Anolis sagrei: one gene and its partners. Each later gene encodes a partner of the first gene's protein in a complex. Links are inferred from orthologs where the notes say so. Each region holds a gene or a part of one and is shown on either strand. Other genes may lie near its edges. The genes, in order: EGLN1, EPAS1 and HIF1A.

Region 1 (7,126 bases):
CATACTTGCTGTTCCCTGAACCTGCTACTTCTCTGTATCTTTCTTAAAATGAAATGCCCAGAAATGAATGCAGAGGAGGACCGATCAATGCATGGGTGACACAAGCCCTTGAGATGCTACTCACTCAGAAGTAGATTTTAGTAAATTCAGAGGCACCAACTTCCCTAAGTGTCCACAAAGTTCTACAATATAGTTGTGAGTGCACATTTGTGACATATTGCATGCCATTTATAAATAGCTGCAGTTCTCCAATACAATTCTAGGGTAGACCAGGACCAGAAAGCATGTTATTACACAATGCTGAGGTAATACATGCGGTTTCAGGCAATCATGGTCTAGCAGGGATCCTTTCCCCTGCTGATATGGAGGTCTTACTGTAAGGTGTGTGTGTATGTAATGTCATGTGTCCATTTAATGACAAGGACTGAAAAGCTGCATCATGAGGAAAACTACTTTAGCATGTAATAAATTCTTTCTACTTGAGAAATTATAACATGGGTGGTATAAAAATAAAGTCTTTACTGATAATCATTTCCAATGCTTACTTAAAATAGGTTTAAAAATCAAACATCTATTGATACCAAATCGGCTTTACGAAACAGGCTGGTCTTTCTTTTTATGAAGTATAGCATAAGCATCCTCTGCAGAGTCCACTGTAAACACTGCACAACAGATTTGTGTAAACGGCTATAAAGCTGTCACTAGGTTACTGTCAGATTTATGACCCCAACATAGATTTTTTTTGTGTGTGTCACGAGCAACTTGAGAAAACAAGGAAACTGTACCTCAGTTAGGATACTGAATGTTCTCTAATATGAAGGATCCCATACCACCTCTTTCATGCAATTATGGTCCTCAATGACCCTTAGAAGATAGAAACCTGCATCAGACCACTTTGGAACTGGTTTGATTTTGTTGCCCACCTAGACTCAGTCTGCTCCCCTGTGCAGCAGTGTAGTCTATGCCTAATTCCATGGCAAAGGTGCATCCATAGTGCCGTGTGGGATACATCGCACCATGTTAAAACAGTGGCTATGGCTCTTAATGAGACATGCCAAGTTATCACAGGAGGTCTCTGCCCCACACCACTGGAGAAATTATGCAATTTAGCTGGGTTTTTTGTGGGTTTTTTTCGTGTTAGGAGCAGCTTGAGAAACTGCAAGCCACTTCTGGTGTGGGAGAATTAGCCGTCTGAAAGGACGTTGCCCAGGGGACGCCCAGATGTTTTGATGTTTTACCATCCTTGTGGGAGGCTTCTCTCATGTCCCTGCATGGGGAGCCAGAGCTAACAGAGTGGTCATCCGTGCTCTCCCCTGTCAGTCTTCAGTCCCGGCACAAGGGTTTAAGCCATTGCATCACCGGGGGATACTTTTAGTTAGTATTGCACTAACTGGCATCCGTCAGGAAGTAGCAGCCAACAATGAAAGAACCGAGGCAGTGACATCTCTGGCCCATCATCTGTTTGGATATCAGCCAGCATGGCAACAGCTTAAATCAAGAAACAGCTTCCTAAGATTGAGAGAGGTACTTGCAGGAACACCTCAGCAAGCAAGAACGCAAAAGTGGCAGGTTAAAACCCACCACCTTAATCAGTAACTGAGACCGGACAGGAGACTCCCTCCTGGGCACAAAGAAGATTGGGTGACCTGAACAGGCTACACTCTGGCATCATGAGATGCAGAGCTAACCTTAAGAAATGGGGCTGCAAAGTGGAGTCCACAACATGCAAGTGTGGAGGAGAACAAACCACTGACCACCTGCTGCAATGCTACAAAGCAACATGAAGCCCTGCCATAAGCACAATGGAGGACCTTCTCAAAGCGACACCAGAGGCACTCCAAGTGGCCAGCTTCTGAACAAAGGAAATTTAGAAGAATGCCAAGTTTTTTTTAAAAAAGTGTGTTTTTTAAAATGCATTTTAACATATTATGATTATGCTTTTGGCTTTGTGCAGTTTTTATATTGCTAAATATTTTAATTGTATTTTATAATTGTTTTAATTGTATTTATAATTGTTGAGGCATCGAATTGTTGCCGACTGTGAACCGCCTTGAGTTGCCTCCGGGCCGAGAAAGGTGGTATATAAGTCTGATAAATAAATAAATCAATCTATATAAATAAAAATGTAATGTTCATTTGTGGGATTAACATTACTCAAAAACCACTGGATGAATTGACACCAAATTTGAACACAATACACCTATCAGGCCAATGAGTGATCATCACTCATAAAAACACTGAAAAACACAACAGAAGGGACTTAGAAAGCCAAAAAGAAAAAGAAAAAAAAGATGCTACAGTGCATGCACAAAAACGACTCCCCCGGCAAAAAAAAACACAATAGAATATCCACACTATCTTCCAGACTACAGCTCCCAGCATCCCCTAGACCAGGCCCTTTAGGAGAGGGGGATGATCCAAATGCACTGCTTCCAAGCTGCAAGCTTTCTTCTCCTTGGATTTGAGAGCATCCGAATCCCTGGATACTTCCAGTTTCCTATTCCTGGACTGCAAATTCCCAGCAGTCCTCCAGATAGATAGGTAGATTGATCAGGAGGAATACTGGGAGTTGCAGTCCAAGAATAGGCAAAGAAGGGGAAAAAAGGGAAAGGAAAGAAAAAGGGGGGAAGGAAGGGATGAGGAAGAGAAGGAAGGAAGGAGAAAAGGAAAGACTGAAACGGAGGGAAGGAGAGAGAGGAAGAGAGGAAGGAGAGGCTGGCCATAGCAATGCGTAGTGGGTACAGTTTGTAATAAATAAACTGTGCCCTCAACTGCAGGAAATCAGGAGACGCTTACTTCTTAGGAAGAGAGCAATAACCAATCTTGATAAAATAGTGAAGAGTAGAGACATCACACTGGCAACAAAGATCTGCATAATTAAAGCAATGGTATTCCCCATAGTCCCCTACGGATGTGAAAGCTGGACTATAGGGAAGGCTGAGCGAAGGAAGATAGATGCTTTTGAACTGTGGTGCTGGAGGAAAGTTCTGAGAGTGCCCTGGACTGCGAGAAGATCCAACCAGTCCATACTTCAGGAAATAAAGCCCGACTGCTCATTGGAGGGAAGGATAGTAGAGGCCAAGATGAAGTATTTTAGCCACATCATGAGAAGACAGGAAAGCTTAGAGAAGACAATGATGCTGGGGAAAATGGAAGGAAAAAGGAAGAGGGGCTGACCAAAGGCAACAGGCCCGTAGCGGGGGGGGGGGGGGGGGGGGGCTTGAGGGGCTTACCCCCCCCCCCCCGAAATTCTCAGGGTGGTCTGCGAGAAGGCCTTACTGGTACATTATTTAAACTGTTATGTTTACTCATATCATGATCTGATCACCATGATATGAGTAAACATATGCATGGGGATATTGGGACAATGATACAAAAGGTTTGCTAAGGTAGATCCTGAGCCCCCCCCCCCCCCCCAATCAAAATCTTGGCTACGGCCTGAAAGGCAAGGTGGATGGATGGTATCCTTGAAGTGACTGGCTTGACTCTGAAGGAGCTGGGGGTGGTGACAACCTACAGGGAGCTGTAGGTCACGAAGAGTTGGAAGCGACTGAACGAATGAACAACCCTCAACTCGCTTCTGACATTACCGCAGAATGAATACATTTTGGCCTTCCTTTAACTGCCCTGCGGCTCAATGCTGTGGACTCCAGGAGGGTGGAGTTTGGCGAGGTTTAGGGGACTCCTGAGCTGGAGTCCTGGCCATTGCCCGTACGTTGGGCAGAGCAGGCTGAAGACCTGGTGAAAGCACAGCTCCCAAACCGCACCGCTTATACAACCCAGGGGACCCCTCTGCAACAAAAACCCCCTGAAAACAATGGGCCACGTGGGTAGGTAGTGTTGTGCCAGTGCCTTCTCTGAAGGCGGCATCTCTGAAGGCGCCGCTCGCGCTGTGACGAGACAAAGCGGTGTCCCTCCTCTTTCCCCCCTCCCTCCCTCCCTCCCTCTCCTAAAGGCAGGCACCGCGTGCGTCGAGCAACGGCCATTCCGATCCCTGATCCCGACCCCGCCCACCTTCGGGCGCAGAGAGGCCTCGCGCAAACACCCTCCTTCCTGGCTTCCGTGAAGGTGCGGGGACGCGCATGCGCATGCGCAGAGCCCTCCCCTCGCGTAGGAGGGAAGGAAGGCGTGCTGACTGGAAGTGGCGTACGTGCAGCGCGGAGCTGGAGAGTGGCGGCGCAAGCTCCGCCCCCTCGGCGCGCGAGAGGAGAGCGAGAGGAGGGACGGTGGCTCGCGCCGGCCACGAAGGAGGCGGAGGACGTCGACGGAGCGACCAGAGGAGGCTTGAGGGGAGGAGAAGGAAGGAAGGGAAGGAGGGAGAGAGAGAGAGTGAAGGAGGCCTCTCGGCGGGAGATGAGGCGCTCCCCTCCCTTCCTCCGGCCATGATGAAGCGGTGGCGGTGGCGGCGGCAGGAGGACTGAGGCGCGGGCGAGGAGGCCGCGCTGACGGAGCGCCGCTTGGGGGGTGTGGGAAGAGCACGACGGCCATGATGATGAAGTGAGCCCGCCGCTCGGCGCTTGGCCTTCCGGAGGAGGAGGAGGAGGAGGAGGAGGAGGAGAAGGCCGCCGCGGAGGAGGAAGCCGAGGCGTGGGGCGCGCGCGGCAGCATGGCCAATGACAGCGGTGGGAGTGGCGGCCAAGGCGGCGGCGGGGGAAGCTGCAGCAACGGCAACAACGGCCACGGGCCCAACAGCTGCACCGCCAGCAGCAGCAGTAGTACCAGCGAGCGGGACCGGCAGTACTGCGAGCTGTGCGGGAAGATGGAGAACCTGCTGCGGTGCGGGCGGTGCCGCAGCTCCTTCTACTGCAGCAAGGAGCACCAGCGCCAGGACTGGAAGAAGCACAAGCTCATCTGCCGGGGAGGAGGAGGAGGAGGGGAGGCGCCGCCGCACGGGCACACCAACAGCCGCCCCCACGCCGCCGAGGAGGCCAAGAAGGCAGCCAAGCCTCCTCCGCCTCCCCTTCCCCCTCCTCTTCCTCCCCCAAACGGCGAAGGGGACGCTGCGGCCACCAACAACCACGTTGCCAAAGCGGCGCCTGAGGAAGAGGAAGAGGAGAAAGAGGACAAGGAGGAGGAGGTGGCGGCCGCAGCAGCAGCAGCAGCAGCGGCTCCCCCGCCGGCCCGGGAGGCGGGCCTCCTCTACCGGGACAAGTCCAACTTGACGGGCGAGGCGTCGCTGCGGCGCAACGGGCAGATGAAGTCGCAGGTGCCCCAGCGGCTGGCGCTGGAGTACATCGTGCCCTGCATGAACAAGCACGGCATCTGCGTGGTGGACGAGTTCCTGGGGCCCGAGCTGGGCGGGCGCATCGAGCAGGAGGTGCGCGCCTTGCACCACACGGGCCGCTTCACCGACGGGCAGCTGGTCAGCCAGAAGAGCGACTCCTCCCGGGACATCCGCGGAGACAAGATCACCTGGGTGGAAGGCAAGGAGCCCGGCTGCAAGGCCATCGGGAAGCTCATGAACAGCATGGACGATCTCATCCGGCACTGCAATGGCAAACTGGGCAACTACAAGATCAATGGCAGGACGAAAGTGAGTCGCCCTCCCTCTCTCCCCTATTTAGATATTTGTCTCACCAGAAGCTAACCAATGGTACAGTAATAATAATAATAATAATAATAATAAATGGGTTGTTGTAGGTTTTTTCGAGCTATATGGCCATGTTCTAGAGGCATTCTCACTTGACGTTTTGCCTGCATCTATGGCAAGCATCCTCAAGATGCTTGCCATAGATGCAGGCAAAGGTCAGGAGAGAATGCCTCTAGAACATGGCCATATAGCCCAAAAAAACCTACAACAACCCAGTGATTCCGGCCATGAAAGCCTTCGACAAGACATTAATAATAATAAACTTTATTTATACCCCTCCACCATCTCCCCAGAGAGGACTCAAGGTGGCTAACATGAGGCCAAGCCCAGTACAGCAAAGTGAAATACAACAATTAATAACATCAAATAAGATGCAAACAATAACAAGTATACAGTAAGCAAGCACAACTTAAAATGATGGAAAAATAAAAACAGAGTGGGAAGTTGTCATATATTTAAAAAAACGCAAAGTTTAATAAACTTGGCATTATGCTCAATGCCCTTTGACCGGAATCTGGCCACTTGGAGTGCCTCTGGTGTTGCTCTTAGAAGGTCCTCCATTGAGCATATGGCAGGGTTCAGGCTGCATTGTAATAGGTGGTCTGTGGTTTGCTCTCCTCCGCACTTACATGTTGTAGCCCTATTTCTTAAGGTTGCTTCTGTATCTCGTGGTCCCAGAGCAAAGTCTGTTCAGCGCCTTCCAAGCCGGCCAGTCTTCTGTGTGCGGGGGTGGGGTGGGGGGGGTGGGAGTCTCTCATTTGGTATCAGCCACTGATTGAGGTTCTGGGTTTTAGCCTGCCACTTTCGGACTCTCACTTGCTGAGGTGTTCCAGTGAGTATCTCTGTAGATCAGTGGTTCTCAACCTGCAATCTCCAGATGTTTGTGGACTACAACTCCCAGAAATCCCAGCCAGTTTACCAGCTGTTGGGATTTCTGGGAGTTGTAGTCCACAAACATCTGGAGATTGCAGGTTGAGAACCACTGCTGTAGATCTTAGAAAACTATTTCTTGATTTAAGGCGTTGGCGTGCCGGCTGATATTTGAACAAGGGATGGGCTGAAGATGCCACTGCTTTGGTCCTTTCATTATTGGATGCTACTTCCTGGCGGACGTCAGGTGGTGCAATACCAGCTAAACCAGTGGTTCTCAACCAGTGGGTCCCCAGATGTTTTGGCTTTTAACTCTCAGATATCCTCACAGCTAGTAAACCAGCTGGGATTTCTGGGAGTTGTGGGCCAAAACACTTGGGGACCCACAGGTTGAGAACCACTGGGCTAAACAGTATAATTTCTTCACCACTGTCCTCAAAGGCAGTGGTTCTCAACCTGTGGGTCCCCAGGTGTTTTGGCCTACAACTCTCAGAAATCCCAGCTGGTTTACCAGCTGTTAGGATTTCTAGGAGTGGAAGGCTAAAGCATCTGGGGACCACAGGTTGAGAACCACTGCCCTAAGGGCACCTTTTCATGCAGAGCCGGCAGGGATGCTCTCGGGCTTTATTGACCTCTTGGTATGATCACTCCTCCTCCTCCCATCAT
Region 2 (7,019 bases), about 34 Mb from region 1:
AATAGGATTTGGGCTTGTTGTTGTATGGCATCAAGTCATTTCTGACTTCCAGCAACCCTAAAATTATAGGGTTTCTATGGATTCCTGTGGTCAAGTGGGGTTTTGAACACTAGTCTCTCGACCACACTGAAGAATTAATGCAATCTAACACCACTTCAACTACAATGGCTCTATGCTAGGGAATTATGGGAACTTTAATTTTAAAAGGCCTTTAACTTTCTTTGGTGCCTCACCAAACTAGGATTCCATAGAATTGAACCACCTGAGTTAGAATGATGCTTTTTTATCTAATCAGAAGCAACTTGAGAACATACTGCAAGTTGCTTCTGGTGTGAGAGAATTGGCCATCTACAGATGTTGTCCAATGGAGCCTCGGATGTGTTACCATCCTGCTGGAAGGCTTCTCTTATGTCTCCGCAAGCTAGAGCTGACAGATGGGAGTTCACCCCATCTTGCAGATTTGAACCGGCAACCTTCAGGTCAGCAACTCAAACTTCAGGTCAGCAGTCCAGCTGTAACAAGGGTTTAACCAGGCAATGACAAACTTTGGTCCTCTAGGTGTTTTGGACTTCAACTCCTTCAATTCCTAACAGCCTACTTGCTCTCTTAGGAATTTTGGGAGTTGTAGTCTAAAACACCTGGAGGGCCAAAGTTTGCCCATGCCTGGTTAAACCCATTGTGCCATGCTAAACTGCATAAATTCTACAGTATAGTTGCACTCAATGTGGCCACAAAGGCTTTCAGAGGCAAGAATTAAGTAATTAAGATTGACACATTATTCAAATGGTCTAATTTAGTTGGGAGTTAAAGTGTAACGAGGCACCTGCACTCATTGGCATAGGTTTGGACCATGGATATGTACACACATACTTTAAAATTAATTGAAAAATCTTGGGGATTTATTTATTTATTTATTTGCTGTATTTATATACCGCCTTTCTTAGCCCGAAGGTGATGCAAGGCTGTTTATATTCAGCACAATTCAATGCCCCCAAAAACATAAAATACAATTTAAAACAGTAGCATATAAAATATAGATTCATATAAAATCAAAAGCATGTCCTTACTGAAATTATTATGGCTGAGGACACATTTTCCTTCACCCTCGTTGTTTACTATTGGCAACTCACTCAAAAACACCAAGTTGCCAAGCGAGTTTGGCATTCTGAATAATAGCTCAGCCTTAAGGCTAGTCCTGCTTTAATCTCTCTCTCAGTTTTCCAAAGAATTAAGGGAAGTATATAGTACTTAACAGAGAGCCAGCATGGGGTTGTGGTTTGAACATTGGGCTACAACTCTCAGCCTCAGAGGAAAGGAAAGGTAGACTCTCTCTGAACAAATCTTGCCAAGACAACCCTATGAGAGTGGTTTGCCTTAGACTGGAAACAAAGGTAGTGGGTTGTTGTGAGTTTTCCAGACTGTATAGCTATATTCCCAAAGCATTCTCTCTTGATGTTTCGCCCATATCTATGGTAGACATCCTCAGAGATTGTGAGGTCTGTTGGAAACTAGGCAAGTGGGGTTTATGTATCTGTGGAATGTCCAGGGTGAGAGAAAGTACTCTTGTCTGTTTGAGGCAAGTGTGAATGTTGCAATTGGCCACTTTGATTAGCACTGAATAGCTTGGCAGCTTCAAAGCCTGGTTGCTTCCTACCTGGGGTAATCCTTTGTTGGGAGGTTAAATTGGTTAGGATTCTATGAGATATTAATTGAAAAAAAATATAGCAAAATATACTGCAGGATGTCCTGGGGTAATCCTTTGTTGGGAGGTTATCTGGCCCTATGGAGCCCCCGGTGGTGCGGTGCGTTAAACCCCTGTGTCGGCAGGACTGAAGACCAACAGGTCGCAGGTTCAAATCTGGGGAGAGGCGGATGAGTTCCCTCTATCAACTCCAGGTCCTCATGCGGGGACATGAGAGAAGCCTCCCACAAGGATGATAAAAACATCAAATCATCTGGCGTCCCCTGGGCAACGTCCTTGCAGACGGCCAATTATCTCACACCAGAAGCGACTTGAAGTTTCTCAAGTCACTCCTGACACGACAAAAAAAAAACTGGCCCTGATTGTTTCCTGTCTGGAATTCCCCTGTTTTTTGAGTGTTGATCTTTATTTCCTGTCCTGATTTTAGAGTTTTTTTTTTAATAATGATAGCCAGATTTAAAGGTACACAACCTAAAGGTATATAACAACAACGTGCTAAACCCTCACCACAAGGCTAGTCCTCAAATCCACAACTTATCCAAAATAATCTGGGAAGCAATGTGGCTGAGCTGGAGTTTTGCATTTATTATTGTAAATACCCCTTTCTTATTCCAATATAATCTTGAAGTGGCAGAATCTTGACTTCTTTTTAAAATGCTCAATGTACTTTGCAATTTCTTTCCTGCACCTCATATTATCAGACCCGGGGAAAAGTTGCTTCAGCATTGTATGTAACTCCCACTCTGATCATACTGCCTGGGAGATTCTGAAGGGAGTTGCCAATATTTCATTTCATTTTAAATTTTTTCTTCTTCTAGTTTTGCTCTGCCTAACTTTCCAGAGCATTGACCCTGACTGAGTATCCACACTGCAGAATTATTGTATTTTGACACCACTTTTACTCCCAAACCTTCTACAAAATCCTGGAATTTGTAGTTAGTTCAACCTAGTTCAAAGCAGATATTGTGGGATTTTCTGCCTGGATATTCTGGGTTATATGACTGTGTGAAAGGGCCCTTAGTGAGACACCAGCCCTCTTGACCAGTGAAATAGCAATACTTAAAAAAAACATATCATAGGATCCTATATAGGGTGTGATAGGTATGGGCCCTTCAAGTGGTGCCAAACCCTGCAGTATAGAGTGCATTTGCACTGTAGAATGAATGCAGTTTGACATCACTTGAACTGACCTGGCTAAAAGCTATGGAATTATGGGACTTGTAGTCTGGTAAGGCACAGGACTTTTTGGCAGAGAAGGCTAAAGACCTCCTAAAACTACTGTACAGCATCAGTGATTCCTAGCACGGAGCCAGGGTAGTTAAAATGACTTAAAATTGCATTTATTCTACTGTATAGATGCACCAAAACACTTGTTGATCTCTAAGGCACTGCAAGATTTATTTGCAACTGAATTTAGCTATACTTTGTGTTTCCCTGTCAGTCTCTTTGGGGGGGGGAGGGGGGTGCTGCTGCTGCTATAAAACTCCAACTCCAGTGATTCTGTGGCCATGAATCAGCTCAAATGGAAGTCAAACTGCATTTATTCTGCAGCGTTGATGCACTATGACCCTCTTTTAATTTCTAAAGTGCTGCAAGATGCCTTTTGTCACTGTGTCTAAGGCGTTCTTGGCATTTTCCCTGCCGGTTGTTAGGAATGGTGGGAGTGGAAGTCCAAAACACTTGGCGGGCTGACGTTTGCCCGTGCCACTGCCTACTGTAGAGGCACCCTAGGTCCGGGCCTTTTTCCCCCGGGGGTGGGGGTCTCTGCTCCGGAGTGTGTGGTAGAGGAACCTTCTTTGGAAGCTTTTAAACAGAGGCTGGATGGCCATCTGCCGGGGGTGCTTTGAATGTAATTTTCCTGCTTCTTGGCAGGAGATTGGACTAGATGGCCCATGAGGTCTCTTTCAACTCTATGATTCTATGATGCTATAATGTGGGACTTTCTGCCTTGATATTCTGGTATATAGCGCTGTGTGGAAGGGCCCTAAGGCGCCCTTGGCGTTTCCCCTGCTGGCTGTTAGGAATGGTGGGAGTTGAAGTCCAAAACGCCTGGAGAGATGAAGTTTGCCCGTGCCACTGCCTACTGTAGAGGCACCCTAGGTCTGAACCTTTTTCCCCCCGGGAGTGGGGGGTCTGACCCATCCGGCTGTGCCTCCTTCGGCCCCTCCCTCGCTTTGACTTGCGATCAACAAGTGCTGCCAAGTGGCTGGAGGCGGGTCCGGAGGCGTGGGCTTTGCCCGCCCCTTGGAGGCAGCGCCCTCGGCGGCCTCTCCAGCTGGAAGAAGCGCCGCCTGAGGCTCCAGCCTGCCTCTGTCCTCCTGGCCGGTCGGCAGAGCCTTCCCAGGGCGACCCGTCCTCCCTTTCCTCCTCCTCCTCCTCCGTACATATACCCAGCGCCAAAGGAGGAGCGGCAGAAGCAGCCAGGAGCAGTGGCGGCGGGGAGCCGCGGCGCCCTTGCCTCCTCCCTCTCTCTCTCTCTCTCCCCTGAGCGGGCTGTACAATCCTCGGCAGTGTCCTGAGACTGTATGGTCAACTCAGGGGCGGCTCGACGGCCTCCTCCTCTTCCTCTTCCACCCCCGCCAAGCCCAGGAAAGGCAACCCACCCGACGGCAAGCGCGCAAAGAGCGCAACCCATCTCTTCTCCAAAGTGGTCTCCAAGCTTGGCGCGCGCGCTTTCTCTCTCTCTCGTGCGCCCTGACATCTTCCTCCCCAAGGATCCCGACGGACAGAAAGCCCCTTCCTCTCGGGGATACAGCGTGAGAGCATCCCAGCAAGCAAGCAGGAACCCCCGCTTCCCAGGATGACAGCCGAGAAGGAAAAGAAGAGGTAAGGGAGGAGGAAAAGAGAGCCAGGGACATCTTTGCGGGGACAAAGTTCTCGCGCCAGTTCTTTGAAAGCAAGGAAGCTCTTCCGCTGGTTGGATTCAGGAGGGACCTCTCCTTTTGCATCTCTTTCCTAACTCTTCCCAGTCCTTTGGAGCCAGGGAGGTTGAAGTGGGGCTGGATCTCTCTTTCCCCAATCCCAAATGGTCCAACAATGGTGCCTTGTTTGGCTCTACTTCAAGTCCTTTCCCTCTGCGTTCTGCTCCACTCACTTCTCTGAAGCGCCCAGGCTCGGGTCCATCTCTACAGTAGAATAGATGCAGTGTGACACCCCTTGAACTACCAAGGCGCAATGCTAAGGGAGCCTAGCAGTTGTGTTTCCCCAAGGTCTTTAGCCTTCTCTGCCAAATAGAAGTGGTGGTTCAATAAACTGCAACTCCCCAGATTCCAGTAGCACTAAGCTGCGTCAAACTGCACCCATTCTACAGGGTAGATCAGGCCTGGGCAAACCTGTGCCTTCCAGATGTTTTTGGACTTCAACTCCCAACATTCCTGAGGCCCATAAGCGGCTGAAGGGGGAAAGGAAGGAGGCCGAGGCTGTTAGGAATGGTGGGAGTTGAAGTCCAAAACACCCAGAGGGCCCAAGTTTGCCCATGCCTAGTGTAGCTGCCTGAACACTAGGAATTATTTAACTCGAACTGGATCTTGCATTCCAATATCTCAAATAGAGTGAGAAATGTCAGATCTTGGTGCTGTCCTTGCTGTGGCATATTTCGTGATCTAGAATCATAGAATTGGAAGAGACCTCAAGGGCCATCCAGTCCAACCCCTTGCCAAGAAGCAGGAAAATTGCATTCAGGGCACCCCCGACAGATGGCCATCCAGCTTCTGTTTAAAAGCTTCCAAAGAAGGAGCCTCTACCACACTCCGGGGGGAGGGAGTTCCACTGCTGAACAGCTCTCACAGTCAGGAAGTTCTTCTTGATGTCTCTTTTCTTGTCGTTTGAAGCCATTGTTCTGCATCCTAGTCTCCAGGGCAGCAGAAAACAAGTTCACTCCCTATGACTTCCCCTCACATATTTATACATGGCTATCATGTCTCCTCTCAGCCTTCTCTTCTTCAGGCTAAACATGCCCAGCTCTTTAAGCCACTCCTCATAGGGCTTGTTCTCCAGACCCTTGATCATTTTAGTCACCCTCCTCTGGACACATTCCTGTTTGTCAATATCTCTCTTGAATTGTGGTGCCCAGAATTGGACACAATATTCCAGGTGTGGTCTAACCAAGGCGGAATAGAGGGGTAGCATGACTTCTAGACACTCTACTCCTATTGATGCAGGACAAAATCCCACTGGCACTTTTTTTTTTTGCCTTCTTTAGCCTTCTCTGCTGAAGAGGGCTGGTGGTTCAACAAACTGCAACTCCCCCAAATTCCAATAGCACCAAGCGGCTTCAAACTGCATCCATTCTATGGTGTAGATCAGGCCTGGGCAAACTTGTGCCCTCCAGGAGTTTTTGGACTTCAACTCCCACCATTCCTGACAGCCTCAGGCCCACAAGCAGCTGAGGGGGGAAAAGAAGGGGGCTGAGGCTGTTAGGAATGTTGGGAGTTGAAGTCCAAAATACCTGGAGGGCCCATGCCTGGTGTAAGTGCACACTTGGACTGCTTTAATTTGAACTGGATCTTGCATTCCAACATCTCAAATAGAGTGAGAAATGTCAGATCTTGGTGCTGTCCCTGCTGTGGCATATTTGGTGACCTGTGGACTTTCAAAAAGTTTACTTCCACTTCTTGTTTGACTCAGGGCCCTTCCACACAGCCTTATATCCCAGAATATCAAGGCAGAAAATCCTACAATATCTGCTTTGAACTGGGTTATCTGAGTCCACACTCAGATAATGTGGGATTTCCTCCCTTGATATTCTGGGATATAGGGCTATGTGGAAGGGCCCTGACACTCTCTGCAATGCAACCCTGAAAGCCAACTAATAATCAATGTATTGTCGAAGGCTTTCATGGCTGGAATCACTGGGTTGTTGTAGGTTTTTTGAGCTATATGGCCATGTTCTAGAAGCATTCTCTCCTGACGTTTCGCCTGCATCTATGGCAAGCATCCTCAGAAGTTGTGAGACCTCACAACCTCTGAGGATGCTTGCCATAGATGCAGGCGAAACGTCAGGAGAGAATGCTTCTAGAACGTGGCCATATAGCCCAAAAAACCTACAACAACCCAACTAATAATCCCTTGCAAGAAGATTCAGTCCTTTAAGGATGTCCTCACTTTTAATCTCCAACAAAGTGTGGAAGGGCACTTCCGAACAGGATTGTATCATTTTCTTATAGTAGAATGAAGGTGGATGATGGGAAGGCAGCATCCAGTGTTAGATAAGAAGAGGGTACTCACACATTACATTGAATATGCATGTCAGTGCATAGTTTTGGTTGTTTTCTTGGCAATATGCATTCCAGTGTGTGTGTGTGTTTGTGTGATTGTT
Region 3 (7,940 bases), about 270 Mb from region 1:
AAACTTGGCATACAGAGTCCTCATGATCCATCCTATATCCTGGTGCCATTTGGAGGAGGAAGGACCACAGACGATGGGACTTACATATGGGAGTTGGAGTTTACCTATACCCACTGAAGCCAACTGACATTGGATCCAGACTCCAACTGGAGTGCAGACAAACAATGCCTATCTCAAATAGCCTGGGCATCACTGGGTCCCCAAGCTAGTAAATAAATAAAAGGCCAAACATGCTGAAAGTTTTGGTTTTACATTTTTTTGATCAGTTCATTTATGTTCACAATGTTGGTCATGAATAGGAAATAACTATGCATATAATTAGAGAAAAAAATTGATGGGTTAACTTTACCTTTTCACTTCAAATGTTTAAAAGCAATGCTTTTGGATGAAACATGCAGAATAATCACAGGATGTCTTCAACCTACACCTGTTGATAAACTCTACAAAAGCTAGCTGGCATTGCCCCTCCTGATTTTATTTATTTATCGTGTCATCCGCAACCAGAACATTGTATTACATTTCTAACAGAACAAAACAAACAAACAGATAAAAAAACCCCACAAATTTTGCAAACTTGGTAGCTGATTAAATGTCCTTTGACCAGTATCTGGCCACTTGGAGTGCCTCTGGTGTTGCCGCAAGAAGGTCCTCCATCGTGCATGTGGCAGGGCTCAAGTTGCATTGCAGCAGGTGGTCAGTGGTTTGCTCTTCTCCACACTCGCATGTCGTGGATTCAACTTTGAGGCCCATTTCTTAAGATGGCTCTGCATCTCGTGGTGTCAGAGTGCAGTCTGTTCAGCGCCTTCCAAGTCGCCCAGTCTTCTGTGTGCCCAGGGGGGAGTCTCTCATCTGGTATCACCCACGGATTGAGGTGTTGGGTTTGAGCCTGCCACTTTTGAACTCTCGCTTGCTGAGGTGTTCCAGCGAGTGTCTCTGTAGATCTAAGAAAAGTATTTCTTGATTTAGGTTGTTGACATACTGGCTGATACCCAAACAAGGGATGAGCTGGAGATGTCTCTGCTTGGTCCTTTCACTATTGGCTGCTACTTCCCAGCGGATGTCAGGTGGTGCAATACCGGCTAAGCAGTGTAATTTCTCCAGTGGTGTAGGACGCAGACACCCTGTGATAATGCGGCATGTCTCATTAAGAGCCACATCCACTGTTTTAGTGTGGTGAGATGTGTTCCACACTGGGCATGCGTACTCAGCAGCAGAGTAGCACAGCGCAAGGGCAGATGTCTTCACTGTATCTGGTTGTGATCCCCAGGTTGTGCCAGTCAGCTTTCGTATGATATTGTTTCTAGCACCCACTTTTTGTTTGATGTTCAGGCAGTGCTTCTTGTAGGTCAGAGAACGGTCCAGAGTGACTCCCAGGTATTTGGGTGCGCTGCAATGCTCCAGTGGGATTCCTTCCCAGGTAATCCTCAGAGCTCGGGATGCCCCTCCTGATGTGTGATGGGAAGTTGCTGCTAAATGTGAGAGAAATAAGGTTGAACACTGTCCACTGTGTCCTGCCTCATGTACAGAGGAGGAATTGTTGGAGGCTACAGACAATGCCGTTGCTGTTGCTCGTTTTTGGTGAAAAGATATTTAGCCGCCTGTACGCCTTCTATTTTTTATCAGTTTTATACTAATTTATGCAATGATTTCGATACGAAATAAAATATAACCTTTTTGCTTTAAGCAGATTGGCTATTGTATTGCCTTCAACTGCCAGTTTTCTCCTGTTCTTATATTCTATGTTTATTGTATGTAAACTGCCCTGTTAAACTTTACTTTAAGATGGAATTAAATAAACAAAACCTTATCACTTAGGAGCCGTGTAATGCATATAAGGAAGTGGCAGAACCTTACGTCTAGAGGCTTTTCTGCTATGATACAAATACCTCTCTGGAATACAACAAAATATAACATCCTCAAAAGATTATTAGACAATCAAAATAAAGACAACACATCAAGCAAGCTTTTGAAGCTTCACCATCTTCCTGATAGTATAGGCATGGGCAAACTTTGGTCCTCCTGATGTTTTGGACTTTTACTCCCACAATTCCTAACATCTTAGTTTGCCCATGCATGTGATAATAGATGCATGATGGCTAGCTTACACTCTGCATGTACTCAGAGGCATTCTTGGTGCTTCATGCGGGACCAAAATAAACCCCGAGACTCAAGGCCTCCTCAGGAACTCTTGGCAAATAATGGGATGTCTTATTGATATCATCATTATTATAACACACACATATCCAGCAGACTCTCAGTTAACGAGGAATCAAGCAACTGGAGCTTTTAAGCAACCAGCAAACCCCCCCAGCAGGTATAATATGCATTTTAAAAAGTCCTGCCAAGATCCCAAGTCCAGGGTGAAACTGAGCACAATGTAGACGCCCACTCCAGCCTCAAAGACAGGCTTCCTTGACCTCCACTTATGGATGCTGCAGTTTCCAGTCAGCTTGCAACTGCATTAAATAATAAGCGTAGATGCCATTCAATACAATTTCTCAGTACTAGGCTGTTAGGAATTGTGGGAATTGAAGTGCAAAACATCTGGAGGGCCAAATGTTGCCCATGTCTGCACTAGAGCATCTATCCACTTTAAATCTGATTGCTGCCTCCTGCAGGATTTTGGAGTTTGTAGTTTAGGGAGGCCTGGGATCTCTTTATCTGAGCAGTTTAAAGGGTTACCCCCAAACTACAAACACCAGAATTCTGCAGAAGGCAGCAACCAGATTTAAAATTGATTGATTCTCCAACTCCCACAATTCCTAACAACCTACCTCTATGTATGATGAAGTCCATACAAAAGACAAGAGGAGGAGAAGAGGAAAAGAAGGGAAAGAGGAAGAGGAGGTGAAGGAGAAGAAGATGGTGGTGGTGGTGAGGAGGAGGAGCATGGAAGAAGAGGAGAAGGAAGAGAAAGGATTAAGATGAGGAGGGAGGAAGAAGAGAAGGAGGAAGGAAAAGAAAGAAGAGGAGGTGAAGTTGAGAGATCAAGGTGAAAAAGAAGAGAAGATGGGGGAAGAAGAAGAGGTGGAATGGAGGGAGTAGACAGGAACAGAAAGCAAAAAGGAGAGAAAAGGAAGGGAAAAAAGAAGAGAAGGAAAAGAGAAAATCAGAATTGAAGAGACGTGAGAAGAAAAGTTGAAGAAGAGGAGGAGCAGGGAAGAAGAAGAGAAAGTGAAGTAAGAGTAGAGGAGGACGGAGAAGAAGAGGAGACAGGAAAAAGAAGCAAGGAAAGATAAAGAAACAAGTCGACCATGTGCTCTGTTTTAAACTGTTTATTTTAAATGTATTTATATGTTACTGTTTTGATTATAATCTACTATGTATTTTATTTGTTTTTATGTGGCATTGAATGATTGGCAATTGGAAGCGGCTCTGAGTCCCCTTCGGGGTTGAGATAGAGCGAGGTAAAAAGTACAGTAAATAAATAAGGAGGGGAAGAAGAAGACGAGAAAAATAGAAGAAAGAGAAGAGGAGGAAGAAAAGGAGGAGAAAACTAAAAGGCGGAGGGGAAAGGAAGGGGAAAAAGAAGAGAAGAAAAAGAGGAAAATCAGAAGAAAAGGAGGGTGGAAGAGGATTAGTGGGCAGAAAAGGTGAAGAAGAGGGGAAGCAGGGAAGAAGAAGAGGAGAAAGAAAAGTAGAAGAGGATGGGGAAAAGAAGAGAAGGAAAGAGGATGAATGGAAGAGAAGAAAAGGACAGAAACAAGAGGAGAAAGTGAAAAAGAGGAGGAGAGATGGGGTGAAGAAAAAGAGAAACAGAAGAAAGTGAAAAGGGGGAGAAAAGGAGAAAAAAACAAAAAAGAGAAAAGGAAAGGAAAAAATGAAGAAAAAGAGGAAAATCAAAAAAAAGAGAAAGGGGAAAGGAGAAGAAGAGGAAAAGCAGGGAAGAAGAAAAGGAGAAAGAAGTATCAGGAGAAGAAGAGGATGGGGAAGAGAGGAAGGAAAGGAGAAAACGAAAAGGAGAAGAGAAAAAAGGGAAAAGAAGGGAAGGAAAATAGAATGAGAAGAGAGGAGGGTAGAAGAAGGGAGGAAGAGATAGAGAAGTAGGAGAAGGGGATGGAGAGAGAGTAAGGAAAGGAGAAAACAAAAAAGGAGAAAAGAAGAAAAGAAGGGAAAAGAAGCGAAGGAAAAGAGAGGAATGAGAAGAGAGGAGGGAAGAAGAAGGGAAGAAGAGAAAGAGAAGTAGGAGGAGAAGGGGGTGGGGAGAGAGGAAGGAAAGGAGAAAACGAAAAGGAGAAGAGAAGAAAGGAAGGGAAAAGAAGAGAAGGAAGAGAACGAGAAGAGAGGAGGGAAGAAGAAGAGAAAGAGAAGTAGGAGGAGGAGAAGAGGAATGAGTAATAAGAAGAGAAAACGAAAAAAAGAAAAAAGGGAAGAAGGGAAGAAGAAAAGAAAAGTAGTAGAAGAAGAGGATGAGAAAGAGGGGAAGGAAAGGAGAAAACGAAAAGGAGAAGAGAAGAAAGGAAGGGAAAAGAAAAGAAGGAAAATGGAGAATGAGAAGAGAGGAGGGAAGAAGAAAAAGATAAGGAGAAGTAGGGGGAAGAAGAGGATGGGGAAAAGAAGAAGAAAAGGAGAAAATGAAAAGGAGAAGAGAAGAAAGGGAAAAGAAGAGGAGGAAAAGAGGAGGGAAGAAGAAGAGAAAGAGGAGGAGAAAAAGAAGGAGAAAAGGAGAAAAGGAGGAGGAGGAGGATAAAGAGGAGGCCGCCTTCCCTTCCTGCCTTCTGCGCGCGCAACCGGCGGGGGGAGGGAGACACTCACGTGAGGCAGGCGGGCGGGGCCACGCCCCCTCCGGGCGGCGGTCCTCGCGCCGCCTCCCGATTGGCCGAGGCGGAGCTCGTGACGGGCCAGCCGGGAATAGGCCCCGCCCCCTCCCCTCCCCTCCTCCTCCTCCTCCTCAGACCGCGCTGAGAGAGAGTGAAGAGAGCCTCGCGGTGGCTGCCTTCCCTGCTTCGGCCTCCCTTTTCTGTGTCCCTCGGCCTTCCTCTCCGGCCAAGCTGGCTTCCTCGGCTTCTTCGTCCTCCGCCGACGACGGCGACGAGGCCGCCATGGAGCCCGGAGCCACCCCGGGAGGCTCCAGCGAGAAGAAAAGGTACGAAGGAGGAGAAAGATTAGGAGGCAGGCCTTGCTCTTCTCCTTCCTGTAGGAATGAATGCCTGGGGAGGAGAGAGATGGAGAGAATGGTGGAACTTCCTTCCTCTCTGTTATTGCTCCTTCTGAACTTTCTGTTTTCCTTCCTTTCTCCTTCCTTCCCTTTGTTGTTGATGATGGAGGAGAGGAGGAAGACTTCTCTTCCATTATTCCCAATTTTTCTTTCTTTCTTTGCTTTCTTTCTTCCACCTTCCTTCCTTCCCTTCATTCTCCATTCAGGCCTCTTCTAGACATCTGTAGTCCTTACCTTCATTCTCCATTCTTCTAGACATCTGTACACAATCCACATTATCTCCTTTGAACTGGATTATCTGGCAGTGTGGACCAGGCATGGGCCAACTTGGGCCCTCCAGGTGTTTTGGACTTCAACTCCCACAATTCCCAACAGCCTGTTGGGAATTGTGGGAGTTGAAGTCCAAAACACCTGGAGGGCCCAAGTTGGCCCATGCCTGGTCTACACTGCCAGATAATCCAGAATATCTGCTTTGAACTGGGTTATCTGAGCCCACACTGCCATATTTATTATTTATTTATATATTATATATTTACAACACTTATATGCCACCCTTCTCATCCCAAAGGAGACTCAGAGTGGTTTACAATACACACACACATACACAATATATTATATTATTAGCATAGTGCAAAATCAGTATTATATATTACTGTATTGTGCTATACCACTATATTGTAATACTACATGTAATACAGGGTTAGTCAAAATGAATAGGCCAATAAACACACATATACACACACATATACAATATATTATATTATTAGCATAGTACAAAATCAGTATTATATATTACTACGTCGTGCTATACCACTATATTGTAATATTACATGTAATACAAAATATGTAATTATAATATCCTATTATTATTAGTATTTATTTATTTTCAGCATTTCTACCCCCATTCCTTCTCAACCCCTGAAATGGCTAGAAGGATACTACTATATTGTAATACTATTACTAATATTAGTAATATTACATGTAATATAAAATATATAAATTATAATATCATATTATTGGTAGTAATATTGTATTATTTATTTATTTATTTATTTCCAGCATTTCTACCCCGTCCTTCTCAACCCCTGATATTAGCATAGTACAGTATCAGTATTATATATTACTATCTCATGCTATACCATTATGTTGCAATATTATTAGTAATATTACATGTAATATAAAATATGTAATTATAATATCATATTATTAGTAGTAGTATTGTTTTATTTATTTATTTCCAGCATTTCTACCCCCGTTCCTTCTCAATCCCTGAAGGGGGACTCAGGATGGCTTACAAGATATATATATGTGTGTGTGTGTGTATGGGTATATATATATACACACACACACACACACACATATATATATATATAATATTATTAGCATAATACAAAATCAGTATTATATATTACTATATTGTGCTATACCACTATATTGTAATATTATTAGTAATATTACATGTAATATAAAATATATAATTATTATATCCTATTATTCGTTGTATTATATTGTATTATTTATTTATTTCCAGCATTTCTACTTCTCAACCCCTGATATTAGCATAGTATAGTATCAGTATTATATATTGCAATATCGTGCTATACCATCATGTTGCAATATTATTAGTAATATTACATGTAATATGAAATATATAATTATTATATCCTATTATTAGTAGTAGTATTATATTGTAGTATTTATTTATTTCCAGCATTTCTATCCTGTCCTTCTCAACCCATGAAGGGGGACTCAGGATGGCTTACATTTGGCAACAATTTGATGCCATTAAATACAACAAAGCAATATAACAACAATAAAAACAGTATTAACCACCGTATCACCATTCCAGCCAAATTCCATATCCAAAGCGCTATTTATGTCTGCTGTCCAAAAACCTGGTCCCAGAACCACGACTCAATTTCTTCCTAAAAGACAGGAGGGATGAGGCCTGTCTTACCTCGTTGGGAAGCGAGTTCCACAGCTGGGGGGGGGGGGGGGGCTACAGCCGAGAAGGCCCTGTCTCTCGTCCCCGCCAGACGTATTTGCGACGCTGGCGGGAGCGAGAGCAGGGTCTCCCCGGATGATCTTAAATTGCAAGACAGGACGTATTATATTATTAGCATAGCACAGGAGACAAGGTGGACTTGTCTTCTGGTCCCTCTCTCTTCACTCTGGTCCAGAGCAGCAGTTGGTGCTGGGGGGAGGGGTCCCCAACTGATGACATATGCAGTAGACAAGATGGAACTGTCCCCTGCCCCCCTTTCACTCTGGCCCAGAGCATCAGTTGGTATATTCCAGTTCAAAGCAGAAAATGTGGAATTTTATTCAGGGCCTTTCTAGACAGGCCCTATATCCCGGGATCTGATCCCAGGTTTTCTGCTTTGAAGTGGATTATATGAGTCCGCACTGCCTCAAAAATCTGGAATAAACAGAAAACTTGGGATCAGATCCTGGGATATAGGGGCCTGTCTGGAAGGGTCCTCAGGTAATCAGTTCAAAGCAGGTCATGTTGGGTTATCTGCCTCGATATTCTGGATTATATGGCAGTGTAAAAAGGCCTTCACAATCCCAAATCAGATCTGAGCCTTTATTCCCCAGGTTCAAGTGATAACCCCCATTTCCCCCCACCAAATCCAGTTTCTTCCTTCAAAGGGCCCTTCCACACAGCCCTATATCCCAGAATATCAAGGCAGAAAATCCCACAATATCTGCTTTGAGCTCAGTTGTCTGAGTGCATACTCAGATAATGTTGGATTTTCTGCCTTGATATTCTGGGATATAG

Evidence for each region.
Region 2: the proteins of EGLN1 (region 1) and EPAS1 are in contact, whole or in part, in a crystal structure (PDB 7Q5X), measured with the Homo sapiens proteins. The link is inferred for Anolis sagrei from reciprocal best matches to the Homo sapiens genes EGLN1 and EPAS1. Residues at the interface, in NP_071334.1 of Homo sapiens: Gln239, Leu240, Val241, Ser242, Lys244, Ile251, Arg252, Trp258, Asp277, Ile280, Arg281, Ile292, Asn293, Gly294, Arg295, Thr296, Lys297, Tyr310, Val311, Arg312, His313, Val314, Asp315, Pro317, Asn318, Asp320, Arg322, Arg370, Trp389, Tyr390; in NP_001421.2 of Homo sapiens: Asp525, Leu526, Glu527, Thr528, Leu529, Ala530, Pro531, Tyr532, Ile533, Pro534, Met535, Asp536, Gly537, Glu538, Asp539, Phe540, Gln541, Leu542.
Region 3: the proteins of EGLN1 (region 1) and HIF1A are in contact, whole or in part, in a crystal structure (PDB 3HQR), measured with the Homo sapiens proteins. The link is inferred for Anolis sagrei from reciprocal best matches to the Homo sapiens genes EGLN1 and HIF1A. Residues at the interface, in NP_071334.1 of Homo sapiens: Gln239, Leu240, Val241, Ser242, Gln243, Lys244, Ile251, Arg252, Trp258, Lys262, Asp277, Ile280, Arg281, Ile292, Asn293, Gly294, Arg295, Thr296, Lys297, Tyr310, Val311, Arg312, His313, Val314, Asp315, Pro317, Asn318, Asp320, Arg322, Arg370; in NP_001521.1 of Homo sapiens: Leu559, Glu560, Met561, Leu562, Ala563, Pro564, Tyr565, Ile566, Pro567, Met568, Asp570, Asp571, Phe572, Gln573, Leu574.

Annotation. Positions count from the first base shown.
Region 1 is NC_090021.1:60,811,631-60,818,756, forward strand, and holds the start of EGLN1 (egl nine homolog 1), read left to right. Parts: upstream 1-4,125; 5' UTR 4,126-4,606; coding exon 4,607-5,533; intron 5,534-7,126. UniProt on the Homo sapiens protein: Cellular oxygen sensor that catalyzes, under normoxic conditions, the post-translational formation of 4-hydroxyproline in hypoxia-inducible factor (HIF) alpha proteins.
Region 2 is NC_090021.1:26,973,221-26,980,239, reverse strand, and holds the start of EPAS1 (endothelial PAS domain-containing protein 1), read left to right. Parts: upstream 1-3,979; 5' UTR 3,980-4,502; coding exon 4,503-4,528; intron 4,529-7,019.
Region 3 is NC_090021.1:332,082,665-332,090,604, reverse strand, and holds the start of HIF1A (hypoxia-inducible factor 1-alpha), read left to right. Parts: upstream 1-4,879; 5' UTR 4,880-5,042; coding exon 5,043-5,086; intron 5,087-7,940.